Linked DNA regions of Schizosaccharomyces pombe. The protein of the gene in region 2 interacts with the protein of the main gene of each other region in a pairwise test. Each region holds a gene or a part of one and is shown on either strand. Other genes may lie near its edges.

The links.
Region 1: the proteins of eap1 (region 2) and tif45 interact in a two-hybrid assay, tested with the Schizosaccharomyces pombe proteins (one large-scale study listed by BioGRID).
Region 3: the proteins of eap1 (region 2) and tif452 interact in a two-hybrid assay, tested with the Schizosaccharomyces pombe proteins (one large-scale study listed by BioGRID).
Region 4: the proteins of eap1 (region 2) and nup211 interact in a two-hybrid assay, tested with the Schizosaccharomyces pombe proteins (one large-scale study listed by BioGRID).

Annotation. Positions count from the first base shown.
Region 1 is NC_003424.3:3,526,549-3,529,979, forward strand, and holds tif45 (translation initiation factor eIF4E tif45), read left to right. Parts: upstream 1-1,604; 5' UTR 1,605-1,610; coding exon 1,611-1,837; intron 1,838-1,905; coding exon 1,906-2,080; intron 2,081-2,214; coding exon 2,215-2,469; 3' UTR 2,470-2,898; downstream 2,899-3,431. Other genes in the region: SPOM_SPAC16E8.13 (ubiquitin-protein ligase E3), read left to right, coding at 1-399; AdoMet-dependent proline dimethyltransferase tae1, read right to left, coding at 608-793, 836-945, 1,047-1,314, 1,461-1,521, 1,559-1,593. UniProt on the Schizosaccharomyces pombe protein: Recognizes and binds the 7-methylguanosine-containing mRNA cap during an early step in the initiation of protein synthesis and facilitates ribosome binding by inducing the unwinding of the mRNAs secondary structures.
Region 2 is NC_003421.2:747,123-752,151, forward strand, and holds eap1 (eIF4E-associated protein Eap1), read left to right. Parts: upstream 1-1,608; 5' UTR 1,609-1,689; coding exon 1,690-1,784; intron 1,785-1,832; exon of another isoform or gene 1,833-1,867; coding exon 1,868-1,927; exon of another isoform or gene 1,928-2,037; coding exon 2,038-2,090; intron 2,091-2,169; exon of another isoform or gene 2,170-2,356; coding exon 2,357-3,642; 3' UTR 3,643-4,521; downstream 4,522-5,029. Other genes in the region: ribosome biogenesis protein Urb1, read left to right, coding at 1-630; proteasome maturation factor Ump1, read right to left, coding at 915-1,070, 1,175-1,408.
Region 3 is NC_003423.3:1,132,408-1,136,172, forward strand, and holds tif452 (translation initiation factor eIF4E, 4F complex E subunit isoform 2, stress response factor), read left to right. Parts: upstream 1-1,986; 5' UTR 1,987-2,091; coding exon 2,092-2,568; exon of another isoform or gene 2,569-2,658; coding exon 2,659-2,798; exon of another isoform or gene 2,799-2,855; coding exon 2,856-2,970; 3' UTR 2,971-3,212; downstream 3,213-3,765. Other genes in the region: met7 (putative folylpolyglutamate synthase), read left to right, coding at 1-24, 334-1,635. UniProt on the Schizosaccharomyces pombe protein: Recognizes and binds the 7-methylguanosine-containing mRNA cap during an early step in the initiation of protein synthesis and facilitates ribosome binding by inducing the unwinding of the mRNAs secondary structures.
Region 4 is NC_003421.2:1,563,795-1,571,602, forward strand, and holds nup211 (nucleoporin nup211), read left to right. Parts: upstream 1-1,755; 5' UTR 1,756-1,847; coding exon 1,848-7,361; 3' UTR 7,362-7,456; downstream 7,457-7,808. Other genes in the region: 3-hydroxy-3-methylglutaryl-CoA reductase Hmg1, read left to right, coding at 1-1,353. UniProt on the Schizosaccharomyces pombe protein: Functions as a component of the nuclear pore complex (NPC).

The DNA.
Region 1 (3,431 bases), on a different chromosome or scaffold from region 2:
GATATTTCTGAATCCAAATTAAAGAAAAGAGACGACAAGCTTAAGCGTGTCTCGTCTCAATTAGAGCATTTGAAGCATAATTATGAAGAAGAAAAAAGTATGAATGAAAATTTGCTGGTTCGCATTCAGACATTGGAAAAGCAAAATACAACAAAGAGCGATCAGATCGTTTCAATGCAATTTCAAATTAATGATCTTAATGAGCAACTTAGAGACCTTATGTTTACTATTTCTGCGTCGCAGGAGATTCAAAAAATGGGCCAATCCGAAGAATTACAGAATGGAACCATCGTTCTTCCTAATAACTCTACGGTCAGGTCTAATTCTGTTAAAAGTAAGAAGAAGAAGAAAAAAAAACCAGTCGTTCCCAGCAGTTCTGGTTCACTAGGTACAGACTGATATATTTTTACTACACATTTACGAGAATAACGTTTCATTTTTTCAATTTATGTTTGCATATAAAATAAAAATATTTATTCTTTTTGTTCTTATTACTTTTGTAAAAGTCAAAGCTGTTTCAGCTGGTTTTGGTAGTCCCTTTTTCAACAATAGTAAGAATCTCGCGCTTATTTCAATTGTCAACCATCAATTTCGAACAAGTTTAAATTTACGAGGAATGAGGAACAAGTGCATACATTTTCACAGGAAACAATTCTTCAGGAAAGCCATGTTGCAGAGTTTCTGCTACAACTACTAGGTTTGCCTTTTTAAACAGGGACTTCAGAGACTGTTCACAACGTGTTACGCTACTATCAATAGGATCAAAGGTGTCCTCAAAAGATGAAACATTTTCCTAAGAAGTCAGTTTTTTCCTACTCACATATGGGATACGAACCTTTACGCAAATGACTCCCTTCTCTTGAATTGCTTCACAACAGCGGCTAAGATAGGCAATCAAATCCTCATCTGTGAGATGGGACAAACACCATTGGTTCCAAATCAGCCCTAAATTTGTTAAAATTTGTTAAGATGACAAGCAAAGAAGTGGATCCTAGAGATTAAGCCTCATCTTGGACAAAATAAAAGCATCTAACTGATATACATACCATAACGGTTTTTTTCTGGAGTCCAATTTTGTAATCCGACATTTATGAAAGAGCAAGGCTTGGTTGCAAGCTGTTTTTTTGCCGTGGATATGAAATTTTCAACAGGTTCCACAAGATCGACATGAGAGGCTATCTTCAAAAGCACATTTTCAGTGACCCTTCCTATACCTGCACCACAATCAGCGGCCACTAAGTTTTCGATTTTTCCTATACGATAATTGAGACGATTGAGAAAAGTTCGTGATCCCACTACATCAGTTTGAGGAATCTGTAGAATGTTAATAATACAAATTATTTAAATAAATAGTCTTAAAAAAAGATAGAGATGTAACAGTAAGTTGAGATTGAGTCTTTTGAACGTTTACACCCGTTTTCTAAAAATATAATTCTCTTGGTAAATTTTCTTTTACATACACGACCAGTTCCCAGCCCTCCAAGCATTCCATCTACAGTTGGTTGAACTCCATTCCAATAGCTATTAAATTAGCCAAATTCTGTAAGCTTTCACATACTCAATCGCATCGCTATAAAATTTCTCGGGGTCCATTCTTTCTAGCCAGAACCATGCAGACTGAACAACCACCAAAAGAGTCACAGACCGAAAATACCGTGTCAGAACCGCAAGAAAAAGCTCTGCGGACGGTTTTTGATGACAAAATAAATTTTAATTTGAAGCATCCTCTTGCTAGACCATGGACTTTGTGGTTTTTAATGCCACCTACTCCTGGCTTGGAATGGAATGAACTGCAAAAGAACATAATTACTTTTAATAGCGTAGAAGAGTTTTGGGGGTAAGTAAATTGCTTATTCATTATTGTGATATTATAAATTGCTTTAACATTACTAACATTCGATTCAGAATCCATAACAATATCAATCCTGCATCTAGCTTGCCTATTAAGTCTGATTATTCTTTTTTCCGTGAAGGAGTTCGTCCAGAATGGGAAGACGTCCATAATAAGACTGGAGGTAAATGGGCTTTTCAGAATAAAGGCCGTGGAGGAAACGCTTTAGATGAGATGTGGTTAACTACGGTAGGTTTGATTGTTTTTAATGCTATGAGAAAAAGGTTTTTTGTAATATTTTTATTTTAAGTGAATACTAAAAACAGTTTTTTCACTCTTTTCTTTACTTTTTAATTTTTGGTTCGCAGCTAATATATCGCTAGGTTCTCGCGGCCATCGGTGAAACTCTCGATCCTACAGGCCAAGAAGTAATGGGTGTAGTTATTAACATGCGTAAAGGATTTTACCGTCTAGCAGTTTGGACCAAGAGTTGCAACAATCGTGAAGTGCTTATGGAAATTGGTACTCGTTTTAAGCAAGTTCTCAACTTACCCCGATCGGAAACTATAGAATTTAGCGCTCATGAAGATTCTTCCAAGTCTGGTAGCACTCGCGCCAAAACTCGCATGAGTGTTTAAATGATAAAAACGCTCTTTGTTTACAAAATAACTTTGGAGTTTAAAAGGTCCATGCTGCATAGCTAATTTGCTTATAATTGAAGAAAGGGAATTATTAATTAGCAATATACATATATTTGTGCGTATTGGGTGTATATTCCCAGGGTTTAAAAAAAGTTGATTTGAATTAATTTGTTTTACATTACTTTTCAATAGTATTGTATTATCATTACAGCGGAAGTACAAAAAACGACCTTATTGAATGGGTGGATAATTTTCGAATGTAGGAGTGCTGATGAGTTGCAGATGTCTTATCTGCTTTTCTGTAGGTAAAAGCATGTGAGCTAAAAAGTGGTCGAGGAATGAGATGGGAGAGACTGTCTAATCAAAAATCGTTTAGTTTTCCTTTTACATAATAATATTGAAAAAACGAGCGTTGGTGTCCCTTCTCTTCAATTGTTTGCATAATCGTAATACAGTATTCAAATTAGCAATGAGGATTCTTTCGGTGCTTTTAAATGTGACAATTCTGGTAATTATTTACTTTATATTCAAACACTTATCCATTTTGTTAAAAGGTTTGTTTGCTTCTTGTACTTAACTTTGAATCTATATGATGATTTTGTAAATAGTGTATTGAGAGAGAAGGAGAGTCAAAATTGCTTTAATTATTGCAAAAAAGTGTCTTACAAATTCAGCTATGCCACCATAAAACTAAGAATTTATTGCTCTAAAAAAGAAGCATTCCCTTGGCGAAAAAATATTGGGGAAAATCTACCAAGGGGCCAATTTCTTGTTAGACTTTTGTTAGCCCTCCTTCTTAAGTTCTTTCAATTTCCCTAATAATTGAATGGTATTATTTCTACCAGTTTACTACTTATTTTAATTTTGTTGTACAAATCATAGATATTATTTTACACAGTTTTATAATAGTGAAATCCGTTAGTATTTTTTCTAAGTATTATTTTTTATTATTATAATGG
Region 2 (5,029 bases):
TTCCTCGGTATGATAGTAATGGGGCTTTCTCTTTTTAAAGAAGAAGCACGCTTTGCTTGTCTTAATTTCCTACGAAATTTTATACCCATTCTGGACGAACAAAAATTTAGAGAAAAGCATTTAATTAAACTAGTACTTGCTAGTATAATTGTGAATGTACCTTCTTCAGAAAATCGGTTGAGCACGTTAATGGCTAACTTTTATGCTTTCAGCTTGACCGTCATGATGAAACCGACACATCCATTATTTGTAGGAATTAATCGTTATTACCTGCAACGTCAACATGTTGATGTTACAGATATACCGATGTACTATGAATTACTTTATCCATCAACAGATTACACCAAAAGTGTTTACTGGCTACTGACTCTATTACATGCTGGTTTACAAACAAATCAGGATTTAAAAATATATCTTCGACGACACGTATTTGAAATGATATGTACTTTATACAACTCATGTGTAGTCAACAGTGAAATCCGAACACTAATCGAAAAAATATTGCTCAAGGTTGTGGCATTGGGAGGAGGCCCAATGTTGGTTAAATACAATGCAATATACCCTATGCTACAAATGGTCATACCAAGTTTTCAAGAAACAAAGGAAAATACCGTAGTATCGACCACGTAAAAAGGGAAAAGAGAATAAAAGAAAAAATTTTTGGCTGCTAAAATTTAGCTAACTAAAATTATGGGATTTGCGGGGTTGAAAGGTTAGAGAAGGAAATAATAATTCATTAATAGCGGCACGATGATAACTTGTAATTTCGTATCTCGACTAAAATTCTAATAAATGTAAAAATATCTGCGATTGAGTTGACATTCGTAGAACGCGCACATCGTATGAAAAATTTGTTGTTCAAGAAAAAAAGATGAAGTCAAGGGAAGGAAGAGAAGTTTCATGCACATAAAAATTTAGAGACCATATCTAATGGCCATTTCATTTTGATAAGTCATTTCCAAAGGAATAGGGGCAGCATATATGTCGGTTTCGTCTAGGACAGCCTCACGATTGGCAAGAATATCTAAATGAAAGTTTGCAGATCCTCCTAAAGCCAAAGGACGAGAGCTCTATGCTTGAGTCAGTAAAACTAAAGAAAAAAAAAGAGGGGGAAGATATAAGTGCAACAATAAGTAAATATAGCACTATATTAGTCTATACATTAATAACCTACCTGTGAAGCGAGTTTCTGTTCCATTTCACGACGCACAGGCTCATGCAAACCGTAAATTCTACGCATGCTATCAAGGCGAATTTGTTGCTGTTGAGCCTCCCAATTCTTTAATCGACTTTCTAGAGGATGTTTATTTTCAACACGGTGTACAGCTGGAATGCTGGGCTCTAAAACTGAGACTTTGAAGTTTCCAGATACTTCAGCAGCTGGTTCGACGTCAGGAACAATCTTCATTATAAATCTGTGAGATCCTTCAATTCTCTACTTTGTCGAGTATATGTGGTTTAGGATGAGTTTCTACAATAGTGAATCCTCTCTCGTAAGCCTATCGTTACCTTGCATCTATGTTACCTGTTACGACTAAGATTGAAGTGTTTTACCCTTACTATGGAGGACATACTAAGCTTGCATGCGATTACTAGCAAGATGGAGCCAACTTAACCACTACCACCATATTAAAATAACACAAAAAACCATCACAATTGGTATTAACTCGTTCCAAAAAAGGCGATAAGATGTCGCAGGTTATTCAATATTCAGAAGCAGATTTGCTATATCTATCAAAATCGCCGCTCATAAAAAAACCAGAAAATCTGCCTGAATGGATTCTGTAAGTTAGGGATGCTAAATAATCTTGGTTGATGAAAACACCTTCGAGAACCAAAGTATGGAATATTGGCTAACGTTTTACAGTCCGGAGGCTATGAAGGCAGATCGTGAACGGCACATTCGCCAAGAAAAGGAAATGAAAAGGTAGGGCAGAAATATGAATACTGTGAATTTCGCGACACAAATTGATTTTAGTTCTTTATTTGCACTTCATAAGTTCTTTAGAGATTTTATACTAACAAATTTTTGTATAGACATGATGATGATGGACGACAATATCAGTCAGATCGTAAATTCGCTAAATCAAGTAAGTCATTTTGTTTACTATTTTCTGTCGACTGTTAACATAAAAAATTGTCTGTATTGACTATGAATCCTTACAATGCACGTTCAAAAAGATGCGGCAAAAATGTCATATGGTTGTTTACTACAGGATTGATTATAATGTGAATCCATTCTACCTTTTTCTGCATCAGATATGAGGTCGATGTGGAATTCGTGTTTTTGACGTTGCTTCCTTGACATTGTCGATAGATTCCGTCTCTTTGTTGAAATCCTTACTAACGTTTCTAGAACACGACGATATTATTCTTGGGCCACCGAAACTTAGTTTTGCTAGCAGTAATGAGAATGGCAGGTCTGTCGGTCGCCATGATGATTTGCTTTCTTTGGGAAATGTGTATAACGGTGTAGCCTCTCTCCGTTATCGAAATGGCGCTTCTGTATCGCGGTCGTCATCCATTGGTCATTCCGGTTCTACTGCACCATGGAGTAGTGTAGGACGACATAATCGCAAGAAAGACAATGAACATCGTGATGAGATGGAGGGGCTTGAGAAGGTGATGAAACAAAGGGCTGGTAATACTGGCCCACTTGTTGCAAATTCTACTGAGGAATTTGAAGCATGGAAGCGTATGATGAAGGCATCCTCTGGAGAAGCTGGAGCAGGTAATGTTATAACACCCGGCGTCACTTCCACCACTGGAGCCCCTTCAGGAAAAGCTTCGCTTTCTAGAGCTGCCTCTAATTCTTCAACCTCTGCTAGAGCTGGCATTAGTGTTGATTCTCTGTTTGGAAAACGCTCCGCTGCCCAAGCGATGGCTACTGTCGTACCCTCTGTCAGTACACCTGGTGGTACCCCTCCTCGCTTTGCTTCTCCGGCCCTTACAGTTGAATCCATGGTACATGCCGCACCCAGCACAACCACTTCTTCGAGGTTTAGCAAGTTTTTTAACGGACTGGCTGGCCCTGAAACTTCTAAGACTTCTACACCAAATATGTCAAATAACCCATCTCCTCGAGTTGCAAATACCGTTGTTTCTCCTGCTCCTATTCCTACTATAGGTTCTGCTACAATTGACAAAGACGCCGAAGGATTTCAACGCGTCTTAGCTATGCTTGGCAGACAAGCATCAAGCACGACAGGCTCTCCTAAGGTTGCTTTGTCACAAATGCCTCAAGTTAATGTCAACCCTTCCAATCAAGACCTTGCCTCGGTAAAGCAACCTTCTGGGTTTTCACCTCCGTCTGCAGTTGCTCCTCCTCCTGGTTTAGGTAATCACAACTTTTCTAATGATGATTCTTCCTTCTTTCGATCTCTTATGACTTCTGATACTCGATCAGTCCCTCCGCCTCCCGGCTTTTCTACGAATGCTCCTAAAGCAGTTAAATCTCCGGAAATTTCAGCCCCTCCAGGTTTGTACCGTGGTCTGTCCTCTGGAGCTTCTATTCCATCGGCACCCCCAGGTTTCGGATATCAACAACCATCTTTCCCATATTCCCCTGGATTTCCTCCATCTGCTTATAATCAAAATCGAACTGGTTATGGATTTCCAGATACTTCTAGACCACCACATTAAAAAACAGTGTCCTTAGCACGACGGTGTGATGAAGTTTCTCATTTGACTATAGTAGTGGGTGTGTATGCATGTATGCTCTGCGCAGTTGTTATTCCGTCTGCAATGTCGGTAAACTCCTTAACATAGACTTTGCTTTATGATTTCTGATATAAACCGGAGACCTTTGAACGATTTTTCCTTGTTTTAGGAATTTTTAATATGTGAATTAATTAGTACATATGGCTTTTTTTAGAATCTCCTTGTGGTTTTCAGAATATACTGCAACATCGTCATTTGATGAATGGATACTGCGTAAAATGGGACAGAAGGATTTTTAATTAACCGTTTATGAAGATAATTTTTAGGAGTCGTTAGGTCAGTTTATAAAATAGGATTAATCGGATGTTTTAGTTCATGAGTCTAAAGTATGTGATTAAGATGAGTATTTTGGTTATACGCAGTTTTGGGAACTTGTGTCATACCAAGGTATAGACAAAACAGTTCATGATAGATAGAACTAAAAAAATTCCACTTCTCAAAAGTATTATAAATGTTAAAGCATGGATCTGATCAATTGTTTGGCTAGCTGCTGGAATTTTGGTTGCTGCTAATCTACAGTCATTGGTTTCCCGGCAATGTTTTACTAAAATTTTTGTGAACATGTGTTTTTATGGATGTGTGCTCTTTAAAAAATTACATCTTTTCGAGAATCAATGTGTTGAAAACTTAGTTCTTTACGAGAATTCTACTCTAGCCAAACTGTTATCTTTTGGATATACGAACTAGAGAAAGCATCTCTAAATTTTTAGACAAAGTGATACTGCTAGCCGAAAAATAATGAAAGGTTGTTTTTCACGTTTATGTTTGTAATTAATGCGTACTAATCAAATCACATTTTCCTAATGTTTAGATGTGAGATTGGGGTTTTTGTAGGAATATATATTATTTTCTTAATTCATATTTATTTTTTTAATAATTGGCTTCACTTTGACTAAGCGTCATAAAAGAGATGGTATTTTCAACCGATAGAATAAAAGAGTTGTTTAAATGGGAATATACATCGCTAGATCTTTTCCAGTATATTTTTTACAAAGTGCAAAACTATCTTCAAAGTAATATGAAAACATATAAGTGATAAGGCGTATTGCAAGGATTACAATTATTTTTGGACATTTACACCTATGAATTTGGGTAAATCTATGTATGAATCAAACAAACTATAGACAGCAGAGATAAAGGCTCTATAAATGCACCCACGTTTACTCCTATTAATCTTATAAAATTTTAGCACAGAATTAATTGTGTAAAGTGATAATTAAGGCAGGATTGAAAGTTGCGTTTCGACAAAAAAAAATATATATTTATATATAAGTGTGTATAACTCGTAAACCAAGAATGTTAGATGCGA
Region 3 (3,765 bases), on a different chromosome or scaffold from region 2:
TGGCTTAGATGCATTGGATATCAGGTAAGTTACTACTTATAATTAGGAATTACAAAAGAATAGCACTCAAATATTTTAAGCCGCTGCATATGATTAAACGAGATTGAAACAAGTATTTGTATGTCCTTTATAGTACTCGATTGTGATCCTTTCTTTAACTTCACCTTATTTTTAATAATAATAATCTCATTGAAAGGACAGCACATCATGTCTATAAAGGGAAATATCAATAGGAATTGTTGACTTGGCTGGTTTAGCCTGTATCTCTTTACGAAATCTTTTTGTTAATAGTTCTATACTGTCATGCAACTTTTACTAACTAATAAATCTCAGCCATCAGATTTGAACCGACTAAATGTCATCCATGTTGCTGGAACTAAAGGAAAGGGTTCTACATGTGCATTTACATCCTCAATATTACAGCAAATACAGAAGAGTGGAGAAAGGTCGATTCCAAAATGCATTGGTATGTACACTTCTCCTCACCTCCGATCTGTCTGTGAACGTATTCAATTAAATGGCAAACCTATCAGTCAAGAGTTGTTTACTAAATATTTTTTTGATGTATGGGAGCGCCTAGAGAATGCTGTCGGTAGTGATTCGGAAAAGCCAATGTATTTCCGATTCTTGACACTAATGGCATGGCACGTTTTCATTTCAGAGAATGTCGATGCCGCTATCATTGAAGTTGGGATTGGTGGTGAATACGATTCTACAAACTTAATTGAAAAACCATATGCCACAGCAGTTACAAGCTTAGGTCTTGACCACACGTCTTTGTTGGGGAACACAATAGCAGAAATTGCTTGGCAGAAAGCTGGAATCTACAAAGAATCAGCTATTGCCTTAACTTGCGAGCAAGCTCCCGAGGCTATGAATGTTTTAAAAAACCGTGCTGCTGAACGAAATACATCACTTAAGGTAGTCATACCTCCTGCTGAATTAACGCCGGATATGATTGGTCTTTCAGGAGTTCATCAGCTTGGAAATACATCCCTTGCAGTTTCTTTAGTCCAAGAATTCTATGAAAAGGCCGGGTGCCCTTTTGATAGAGATCCATATCAGGATCCAGCAATTTTGGACGGCCTCAAGTATGTAAAATGGCCTGGAAGATGCCAAATTGAGGAAATCAACAACATAAAATGGTGTTTTGATGGAGCCCACACCAAGGAAAGTTTGGAGGCCACTGGACTTTGGCTCGCATCCAAGAAGAATCTTTATGAGGATGCAGATGCCCGTATTCTTCTGTTTAACCAGCAAAGCAGGGATGATCCAATTGCTTTACTTAGGTCCTTCTTAAAAGGATTGGAAAGCTCGGGAACTGGGATTTCGTTTACGCATGTTATATTCTCAACCAATGTCACCTGGAAGGATGCAGGCTATAATCCAGAGCTGTTAAGCATTAATACCATTACTGATAATAAGCCCGTTTTGCATGTACAAGAGGATTTATGTAAATGGTGGAAAGAATCGAAGGGCACGACTAGTGAAGCAACAGTAGCCCCTACCATCCAAGAAGCTATTGAGACAGTGATGTCAATTAAGCAAAAATCCAGGAATACTTTTGTTTGTGTCACCGGAAGTCTGCATTTAACTGGTGGTGTTTTTGTAGTACTAGATCAAGCTGTTTTTTGATTGAAATGGAGAAAGGTTCTACATTTTGCAACATTGTTTTTGAGATTTAAATGATTCTTAGATATACAACATAGCTTTATGCATCTTTGTAATTACAAAATGATTTTTAACAATTTGACACGTAAGGGGAACAAATTTGATTTCACGAATTATAATAGTATGCAGATAAAAAGCTGTGTGAAATTTGATTATACTCGTGCATTTCCAATCAAACAAATAATTTACTGTAAAGCTTTAAGGCTGATTATTGACTTTTTATATATACTTAGCCAATATTTAAGGTATGAATGTACAATTATATTTTACAGGAACAGTGTGTTGAAAGTTGCTTTTGCTTGGATCTCGTAACCCAATTACGACCACCGCATCTTTTCAGCATCCAGCCTAGTTTACAAACTGCCTATTATAAAAACGTTTTAAGCTCTTTTAATATTTTTGTTTTTTTAAAAAAAGCAAATGGCAGATGCAGAAGACTCGCGTCACTCAAAAAATGAGGGTTTTCCCAACACTTCCTTAATCACAGAAAAACTAGATCTATTGGATTTATTTGGGTCACCAAAAGTTAAAACTGAAAGAGAGGGACGTCCAGCGCGCCTTCTTGAAGGTCTATCGGCTGTTAATGCTGAAACTGCATTTGTAAAAACACACCCCCTTCAGCATGAATGGACATTGTGGTTTTTGAAACCACCTACACAAGGTCTTGAATGGAGTGATCTTCTTAAAGAGATTATTTCCTTCAAGACAGTGGAAGAGTTTTGGGGCATCTTTAAGACGATCTCAAAAGCTTCGATGCTTCCCGCCAAATCGGACTACTCTTACTTTTTGAAAGGTATTCGTCCTGAATGGGAGGATCCTCAAAACATGAATGGTGGGAAATGGGCCTACCAAAGCAAGCACAAAGGTTCAAATCTCGACGAGTTGTGGCTGTATATGGTAAGTCATGGTCTGTTCATTTTAACTGCTGTGATATCGACTTTACAGAATGTTAATTTTTAAGTTGAAAGTATTAACGTATGGAAATAGGTGCTGGCAGCCATTGGAGAAACATTAGACCCTACTGGGAAAGAAGTTACTGGTGTAGTTTGCAATATGAGGAAAGGATTCTATAGAATCGCTGTATGGACACGAAATTGTAATGACAAAGATGTTTTGGAAAAAATCGGGTATGTGAAGTTTTAAGAGTAACGTGTTGGTAGTTGACTGGACTAACAAACATGTAGCCTGCGCTTTAAAGAAGTTTTAGGGATTTCTGATAAAGAGACTATAGAATATAGTGCTCATGAGGATTCATCAAAGGCTGGTAGTATGCGAGCAAAAACCCGTATGAGTCTTTAATGATATCAAGTTTCAAGTTTTTATTTTTACTTTCTAAGGCTTGGTAAATTATAGGGGTGTTCATTTACGAATGACAATATGTTATTGCAATCATTGCCCTCTTGTTTTTGAGACCTCTAAAATACCAAGCTTATTGAGATGAGATAGATGCCTCTTTACAGTTAGTGTATTCGTATGAATAGTTTAATTTGTTATATTTGTTGAGCATTTTAATAGGCTAATGGATATAATCTATATTTGACCCTTCTCTTACGTTATAAATATTAAAATTCTATCAAGAATGTAAATATGCTAGATCGCCAAATCTTCCTATTATTCATAACCGCCTGTATATTAAACATTTATCGCTAGCTTATTTCAAGCTGAATAATGTCTACTATGATTTTACTATTTCCGAGGATCTAATGTAATGTTGGAACTAACCTTTATCGCTAAGGATCCATGAATGTTTGAATCAAACTAAAATTTCGAAATAATAGGCGACCTTCATTTCTTCTTATCATTGTCGAAATCGGATAACATTAATTAAGAAGATAGCCCTTTTAATCGAATTAATGCAGCGCTTAATGAGTACTGGGAAAAGTGGGGAAATTTACTTGCAACTTCTGTATGCTTAGAATTAGATATCTGGTGAAGAAGTATCTACAATCAGACTTTTCAATGTACTGTACGGAATATTGTCGAGTATCAGTGCACCACTTCAATTCCAAATCTATCGCTTCGCTTATACTCAAAGTTTTTTAAACAAATAAAGCTCAGCACTAACTTCATCATTTGGTTAATCAGCAATTAGCA
Region 4 (7,808 bases), 820 kb from region 2:
ACTCTTTACAACAATGGTCAAATTTCAACTTTAAATGATGAAGAAGTTGTGCAGTTAACCTTAGCTAAAAAAATCCCTCTTTATGCTTTAGAACGAGTACTTAAAGACGTTACCAGAGCTGTTGTAATTCGCCGAACGGTCGTCTCCCGTTCATCTAGGACGAAGACACTTGAAAGCTCTAATTGCCCCGTCTATCATTACGATTACTCTAGGGTTTTGAATGCATGTTGTGAAAACGTTATAGGTTACATGCCCTTGCCCCTTGGTGTAGCTGGTCCTCTCATTATTGACGGTAAGCCTTTTTATATCCCTATGGCTACTACTGAGGGTGCATTGGTTGCTTCTACTATGCGTGGATGCAAAGCTATTAACGCTGGTGGTGGTGCTGTTACTGTATTGACTCGTGATCAAATGTCCCGTGGACCATGTGTGGCTTTCCCGAATTTGACGCGCGCTGGTCGTGCTAAAATTTGGTTGGATAGCCCTGAAGGCCAAGAGGTTATGAAGAAGGCTTTTAACTCTACTAGCCGTTTTGCTAGACTTCAACATATTAAGACTGCTCTAGCTGGTACTCGTCTTTTCATCCGTTTCTGTACGTCTACCGGTGATGCTATGGGTATGAATATGATTTCCAAAGGTGTTGAGCATGCACTTGTAGTAATGAGCAATGACGCTGGTTTTGATGACATGCAAGTGATCAGTGTATCAGGGAATTATTGTACAGATAAGAAGCCTGCTGCTATTAATTGGATTGATGGTCGTGGTAAAAGTGTTATTGCTGAAGCTATTATTCCTGGTGATGCTGTCAAATCGGTATTGAAAACTACTGTTGAAGATTTGGTTAAATTAAATGTTGACAAAAACCTCATTGGTAGTGCTATGGCTGGCAGCGTTGGAGGATTTAATGCTCATGCTGCTAACATTGTCACGGCAGTATATTTAGCAACTGGTCAAGACCCTGCCCAAAATGTTGAAAGCAGTAATTGTATAACTTTGATGGATAATGTTGATGGTAACCTTCAGCTTAGCGTGTCAATGCCATCCATTGAAGTTGGAACAATTGGTGGTGGAACGGTTTTGGAACCGCAAGGTGCTATGCTTGACTTGCTCGGTGTGCGAGGTGCCCATATGACCTCTCCCGGTGATAATTCTCGTCAACTAGCACGTGTCGTTGCAGCCGCCGTAATGGCTGGTGAACTGTCTTTGTGTTCCGCACTTGCTAGTGGCCATTTAGTTAAATCCCATATCGGACTCAATCGAAGTGCGCTGAATACTCCTGCTATGGACTCTTCTGCCAAGAAACCAGCGACTGATGCTCTAAAATCCGTTAACTCTCGAGTACCGGGACGTTGAGGGAGCAAGCTTGTTTTATAATATTGTCACATACACGATGATGACAAATTTTTTTAATTTTGATCTCCCCTAAAAAGTTACATCTTTGAACTGTTATGCCTCAGGAAAATTAGCTTTAAATTCTTTTCCATTTTTTATATATTCATCTTTTAAAAGAATATGGTATATCCATACAAGTATGTAGTTTACCTAGTGAACGCTGATTTATAGCTTAGGTAAGAAGACGTAAGGCAATGTATATTGCTTATGTCTAGTGACACAAACAAATGGATTATATTATACGGACTTATATTAGTTATCTCAATAAAGAATTTAAATAGATTTTTAATTGTAATGGTTTTATGACTTGAAATTGAATTTATTAGGGTATCAACTACCTCGTCGCTACACACCCATCGACTTACATTGCACCACCATAATAGGTAAGAACGTGTTTCAAACAAAGGTAGCGTCTCTAAACTGAAAAAATAGTTAGAAGCTATTTGTTTGAGGCAATGCACGATTCTTCCTGGACAGAAGCTGATATACTCGGGGTATGCAGTTTTCTAGACATACCAAAGACAAAAATTGATCCTTTACTTCAGGTGGACGCGTTTACATCCATATTAATACCTTTAATTAGTAAAAGCAAAGATTATGAAAGTATAAAAAATGATCGTATAGTTACAGAAGTCAATTACGAGCAACAATTGCGAAATTCGGAGAAGAAACTACTTCAATCAAACGAACGTTACGATTTATTAGAGGATGAGCGCAAGCTTTTAGAGAATGAACTCTCTCAAATCAAAGAATATCTTAGGGAGAAATCCTCTTCATATGACACTGTTTTGCACGATTGCAGTTCTCTCAAAAGTGTAAATGAGGCATTAAAACAAGCTCAGGATCAAAATTTGAAGCAAACTGCTCAACTTCAAAATCTTTTATCAGATAAAGAAAAGGAAGTTGAAAAGAAAATCACTATCATTAAAGATCTAAAGGATGCCCTTGCCAGTTCTACCCATCAAGTTTTGGAGCTTCAACATACACAACAAGAAAAAGCATCTTTGCAGACTAACTATGAGTTTGAGTTGCAAAAATTAACGCAGAAAAATTCGATTTTGGAAAATAATAACACCTGGTTAAGCCGAGAGCTTCAGGGTGTGAACGACAAATTGTTATCTCTTCATCAGGAGGCCTCTTTGGAAAAGTCTCAACTAAGTTCTCAATTATCTGACGCTGTTTTGGAAAAAGATGCGCTACAACGGAAAGTGAGTTCTTTGTCTCAACAGTTTACAGAAAGTAATTTACGATATCAGAATATTGTAGCTGAACTCTCCGAAATGCGAAAGCAATATGAGTTTTCGCAAGTTTCTTTTGAAAAAGAGATTTCTTCACAAAAGCAAATTAGTGAGTTGTGGATGGAGAAATGTGAGGATTGCTCTTTACGGCTCAAAGAGTTGCAGAACTCAAACGGCGAGTTGGAAAAGCTATTGGAAGCTGCACAATCATCTTTTGAAGAACAGCTTGAATCTCATAAGGAAGCAGAAGCTTCCTTGAAATCTCAAATCAATTTTCTAGAGAAAGAGGTATCAAGTTTAGAGTCTCAGCTAAAGTTGGCTAATGAGCGTCTTCGGCATTATGATGAAATAGAAATCTCAGATATGAGTGAATTGAAATACTCAAATTTACTAAATAATAGTATGAAAGGCTTTAAAGGTCAGTCCTCCGTCTCTGACTTGTATTCCGAGCGTTTATACTATAAACAGAAGTATGAGCAAACATGTCAAGAGGTTGAAAGGTTACAACGTAGCTATAACCATGTTATGGAAGAAGCGAATCTTCAGCATCCTTTGGTTAAAGAACAGTTTAAGCGATTTGCTCATATGCAACGGGAAATTGTTGCAATGAGTGAGCAATATCAGAAGTCATTGGAAGACTGTCAGAAAGCCAAGTCCCGTTACGAGCAATTAGAGACACTATTTAAAGATAAATGCACAGAGAATAAGCATTATGAGCAAGAGACCAAAGATTTAGCGCGACAGGTGCAAGTTTTACTTCATGAACTCGATTTGTGTGAGAACGGCATAGTGCTAGGCGTGGATAGTAGAAAGAAGATTAACTCCTATGTTGAAAAATCGCTCACTGAAGATGAAACTGATACGGATCAAATAATTTCAAGCAGGCTAGTTGTATTTCGTAATATTAGAGAATTGCAACAACAAAATCAAAATCTACTGTCTGCAGTTCATGAATTAGCTGATCGTATGGAGAAAGACGAAAAACCTGATCTTGATGGAGCCGAGATTCAAGAAGAAACACTGATAAAAGCTAACGAAACTATTGATCAACTTACTAAAATGTTGGAGGAGGTGAGCGATCAGTTACGCTACTCTTTAAAGGAACGAGACTTTTTTAGATCACTAGTTCAAGAGAATGAAAAACTTTTAGATATGGCGCCTGCAACTCCTAATTCCAAATTGAATACTAATTTAATTGAGCAGACTTCTTACCAGCGTTCGCTTATTCGACTTGAACAGCTAACTAATGAACTGGAGTCCCTTAAGTCAATTTCTCGTAACAAAGAAAAAAAGTTTGAGGAAGCTATCTCATCTCTCCAGCTCGAAAAATCTAATATTCAATTGCAACTTACCTCTTTAACATCTGAACGAAGCTTAGCCCTTGAAAAGCTAAATGATCTGGAAAAATCACTTGTTTTATCTGAAAGAAGTAAAGATGAACTTGATGAAAGCTATAAGTCTTTACAAGAGCAACTTGCTTCTAAGAAAATTGAAGTTCAAAATGTTTCTTCTCAATTATCAATCTGTAATAGCCAGCTTGAACAATCCAATCATATTGTTGATAATTTAAAAAGCGAAAACCTGCTTTTAACTTCCGTCAAGGATAAGTTGAAAGCCGATTTATCTAATTTGGAGTCGAAACTTTCGTCCCTGCAGCAGGATAATTTCCATATGAAAGCTCAAATTGAATCTTCAAATCAAGAGTATACGGCAACAGTGGACTCAATGAATAGTCGAATACTTGAACTTTCTAATGATCTTCGAGTTGCTAATTCAAAGCTATCTGAGTGTTCCGATGATGTTCGTAGACTTACTCTACAAAATTCATTTGATTTGAGGGAGCATCAAACATTGGTGCTTCAACTTCAGTCTAACATCACTGAGTTAAAACAAGACATAACATTGCAACGCACCGTGCGAAATCAGTTAGAAATACAAACCACTGAGTTGAAAGAGCGCTTAAAGTTTATGGAAGAACGGCAGGAGAACTTGCAATCTAAATTAATCGCGGCTAATAAAGACACGACACAAAATCCTGATAATGTTGAAGTCGAGGCTATATCTATTGAACTGGAAAGGACGAAGGAAAAACTTCGCATGGCCGAGCTTGAAAAGAGTAATATTCAACAAAAATACCTCGCTTCAGAAAAAACCTTGGAAATGATGAATGAAACCCATGAGCAGTTTAAGCATCTAGTAGAATCTGAAATTAGCACAAGGGAAGAGAAAATTACGTCCCTTCGCTCTGAGTTGTTGGATCTTAATAAGAGAGTTGAAGTACTAAAAGAAGAGAAAGAGTCTTCGTCCAAGGAACTTGCCAAACAACTTGAGGATGCTGTTCGTGAAAAGGATAGTGCACTTTCTTTCAAAAAAGATTATGAAAAAATTCGTTCAGATGCGGATCGTGTTATTACCTCTTTGAAAGAAGATATTGAAAAAGAAAGATCTCTAATGAAGGAGTGTCATTCTAATTACGAATCAGAGATCGTTAGTCATGGGCGTACCACTCAAAAATTGCGGGATTTACGTACTGAATTTGACGAGGTGAATACGAAATATTTAAAGCTCAAAGCAAATTTTGAACAGCAGCACTCAGGACTTTCAGGTGCTGAAAAGGATTGGAATATTCAGCGGAAAGCCATGGAAGATGAAATTAGCTCCTTGAAAGATTACATTTTGGGACTTGAAAATCAAAATAAACTACTACATTCGCAATTTGATTCTCTTAGTCAACAAATAACTGTTCTTCAACAGAATTCTTCTGAAAATTTAAATATATCTGCCAATTTAGAAGCCGTTCAAGATAACGATTTACGTGAACTTGTTAGCTACTTGAGGCACGAAAAGGAAATAATGGATAATAAATATGAGTTAACAATTCTGGATAATAGAGGTTTGAATCAACAAGTCAAGTCTTTGCAATCCACCGTTGATTCATTGCAACTCGAGCTCAACCGTCTGCAGTCTCTGCCTGTGTCAAATGACCAAACAGATACCCCCATTATCAGCGGAAGTCAAGAAGTTCAGTTACTTTATGAAAGTAATAGTGTCCTTAGAAAGGACAATGATGCTAAACTTGGAAAAATACAAGAGCTGGAGAAAGAGGTTGAAAAACTGAATGCTTCATTGAATCCCTTACAAACTGAAATAAATGAACTTAAGGCAGAAATAGGCGCAAAGACAGCAAGTCTGAACTTAATGAAGGAATACAATTCTCGATGGAAATTAAGATTTCAGTCCGTTTTGAACAAGTATGAGCGTGTTGATCCCACACAGTTAGAGGAGTTAAAGAAAAATTGTGAAGCATTAGAAAAAGAAAAACAAGAGTTGGAAACGAAACTTCAGGAGACAGCAAAAGAAACCGATACATTTAAGCAACAGGTTAATTCTCTAAACGAAGAGGTGGAAAATTTGAAGAAGGAAGTTGAGCAGGCAAACACCAAAAATACTAGATTGGCAGCTGCTTGGAATGAAAAATGTGAAAATTTGAAAAAATCCAGCTTAACAAGATTTGCCCATCTAAAGCAGGAATTGACCAACAAAAACAAGGAGTTAACCTCTAAGAATGCTGAAAATGAAGCAATGCAAAAAGAAATAGAGTCTCTAAAGGATTCCAATCATCAATTACAAGAATCGGCTTCCAGTGATGCTGAACAGATCACGAAGGAACAATTTGAACAACTCAAGTCGGAGAAGGAAAGAACTGAAAAAGAGCTAGCAGATTCTAAGAACGAGCTAGAACACTTGCAATCTGAGGCTGTCGATGCTGACGGTAAAACTGAAATTTCAAATCTTGAAAAAGAAATTCATGAATTACGGTCTGACAAAGAAGGACTTGTGCAACAAGTACAAAACTTGAGTGCGGAATTGGCAGCTTTACGAGAGCATTCACCGACCCAAGGAAGTTTAGAGAATGCTGATGAGATTGCAAGGCTACGTTCACAACTTGAATCTACGAAACAATATTATGAAAAAGAAAAGGAAACCGAAATTTTGGCTGCTCGCTCTGAACTCGTCGCAGAGAAAGAAAAGACAAAGGAAGAGTTAGAAAATCAACTCAACGAAAAGTCACAGAGAATAAAGGAACTTGAGGAACAAGCTCAAAAAAATTCTTCGGAAAATACTCATGACAATATTGATGACATGATTAAGCAGCAGGTTGAAGAAAAGCTTAAAGAAAATTCTGCCAACTTTGATGTTAAGTTGAAGAAGGTGGTAGCTGAGACAGAATTTCGGAGCAAAGCTAAAATATCTGTGTATGAGAAGAAAACTAGGGATCTTCAGAACAAAATTACACAACTTGAAGAAACTATTGAGAATTTGAATAAACAGCTATCCAATCCTGAAAAGACTGATGAATCTACGTCTTCTGTAACAGAAACAAAGCCTGTTACTTCCAAACCAACAGCTAGCAAAGCTGATGTTGGTCAGAATGCTACAGAAGCTTCGTCAGCCAAGAGAGAACCTTCCGGTAAATCTCTGAGTGCAAGACTTCAAGGAACAGGCAAACAAAAAGGTGTTCAACGACCCGCTGTTTCGCGTCCTGTTCCTATGAAACCAGACAGTGGAAAACTCTCAATAACTGGAGCTTCCAAACGAATTGCTACTTCAAAGAATGCTGCCCAAAACGCTAAAGAACTGTCAAGCACTGCTAAATCCGGCTCCCTTAAAAGACAACGTGACGATGCGAACAAAGGAGGATCCAGTTCGAACCAAAAGAAAGCAAAATAGATGTTTTCATATGGTTCATAAATCACTCTTAGGACTATTCATATTTAGTTAACATGATTTATAATAATGACATGAGTAAATTTTGTATTATAAAATTTTTGTCTTATTTGTATTTCTGATTCTTACACAGACTGGTTTTTGCTATTTCTTGATTTTGCAAAGTAAGTACTTTTTCGACTTACTTATTCCATTATTATTAGAGATAAGATAAGAAATGCACGCTAAAAAGTAAATTCACTACTTAAAAATGTTACCACGACTATTTGCAGAAGTACAAATTCAGTCAAAATCTACATATGAGTAAGAGAACAAATGTCAAAACTAGAATAGTTAAATTTAAATGGATTGTTAGTCCATGATAATTACAGAGAATAAAGTGAACTAAAAAACTCGGTCTTAAACAAATTGCGATAACTTTATACAACAAAAAAGAGAAGGACCATCATT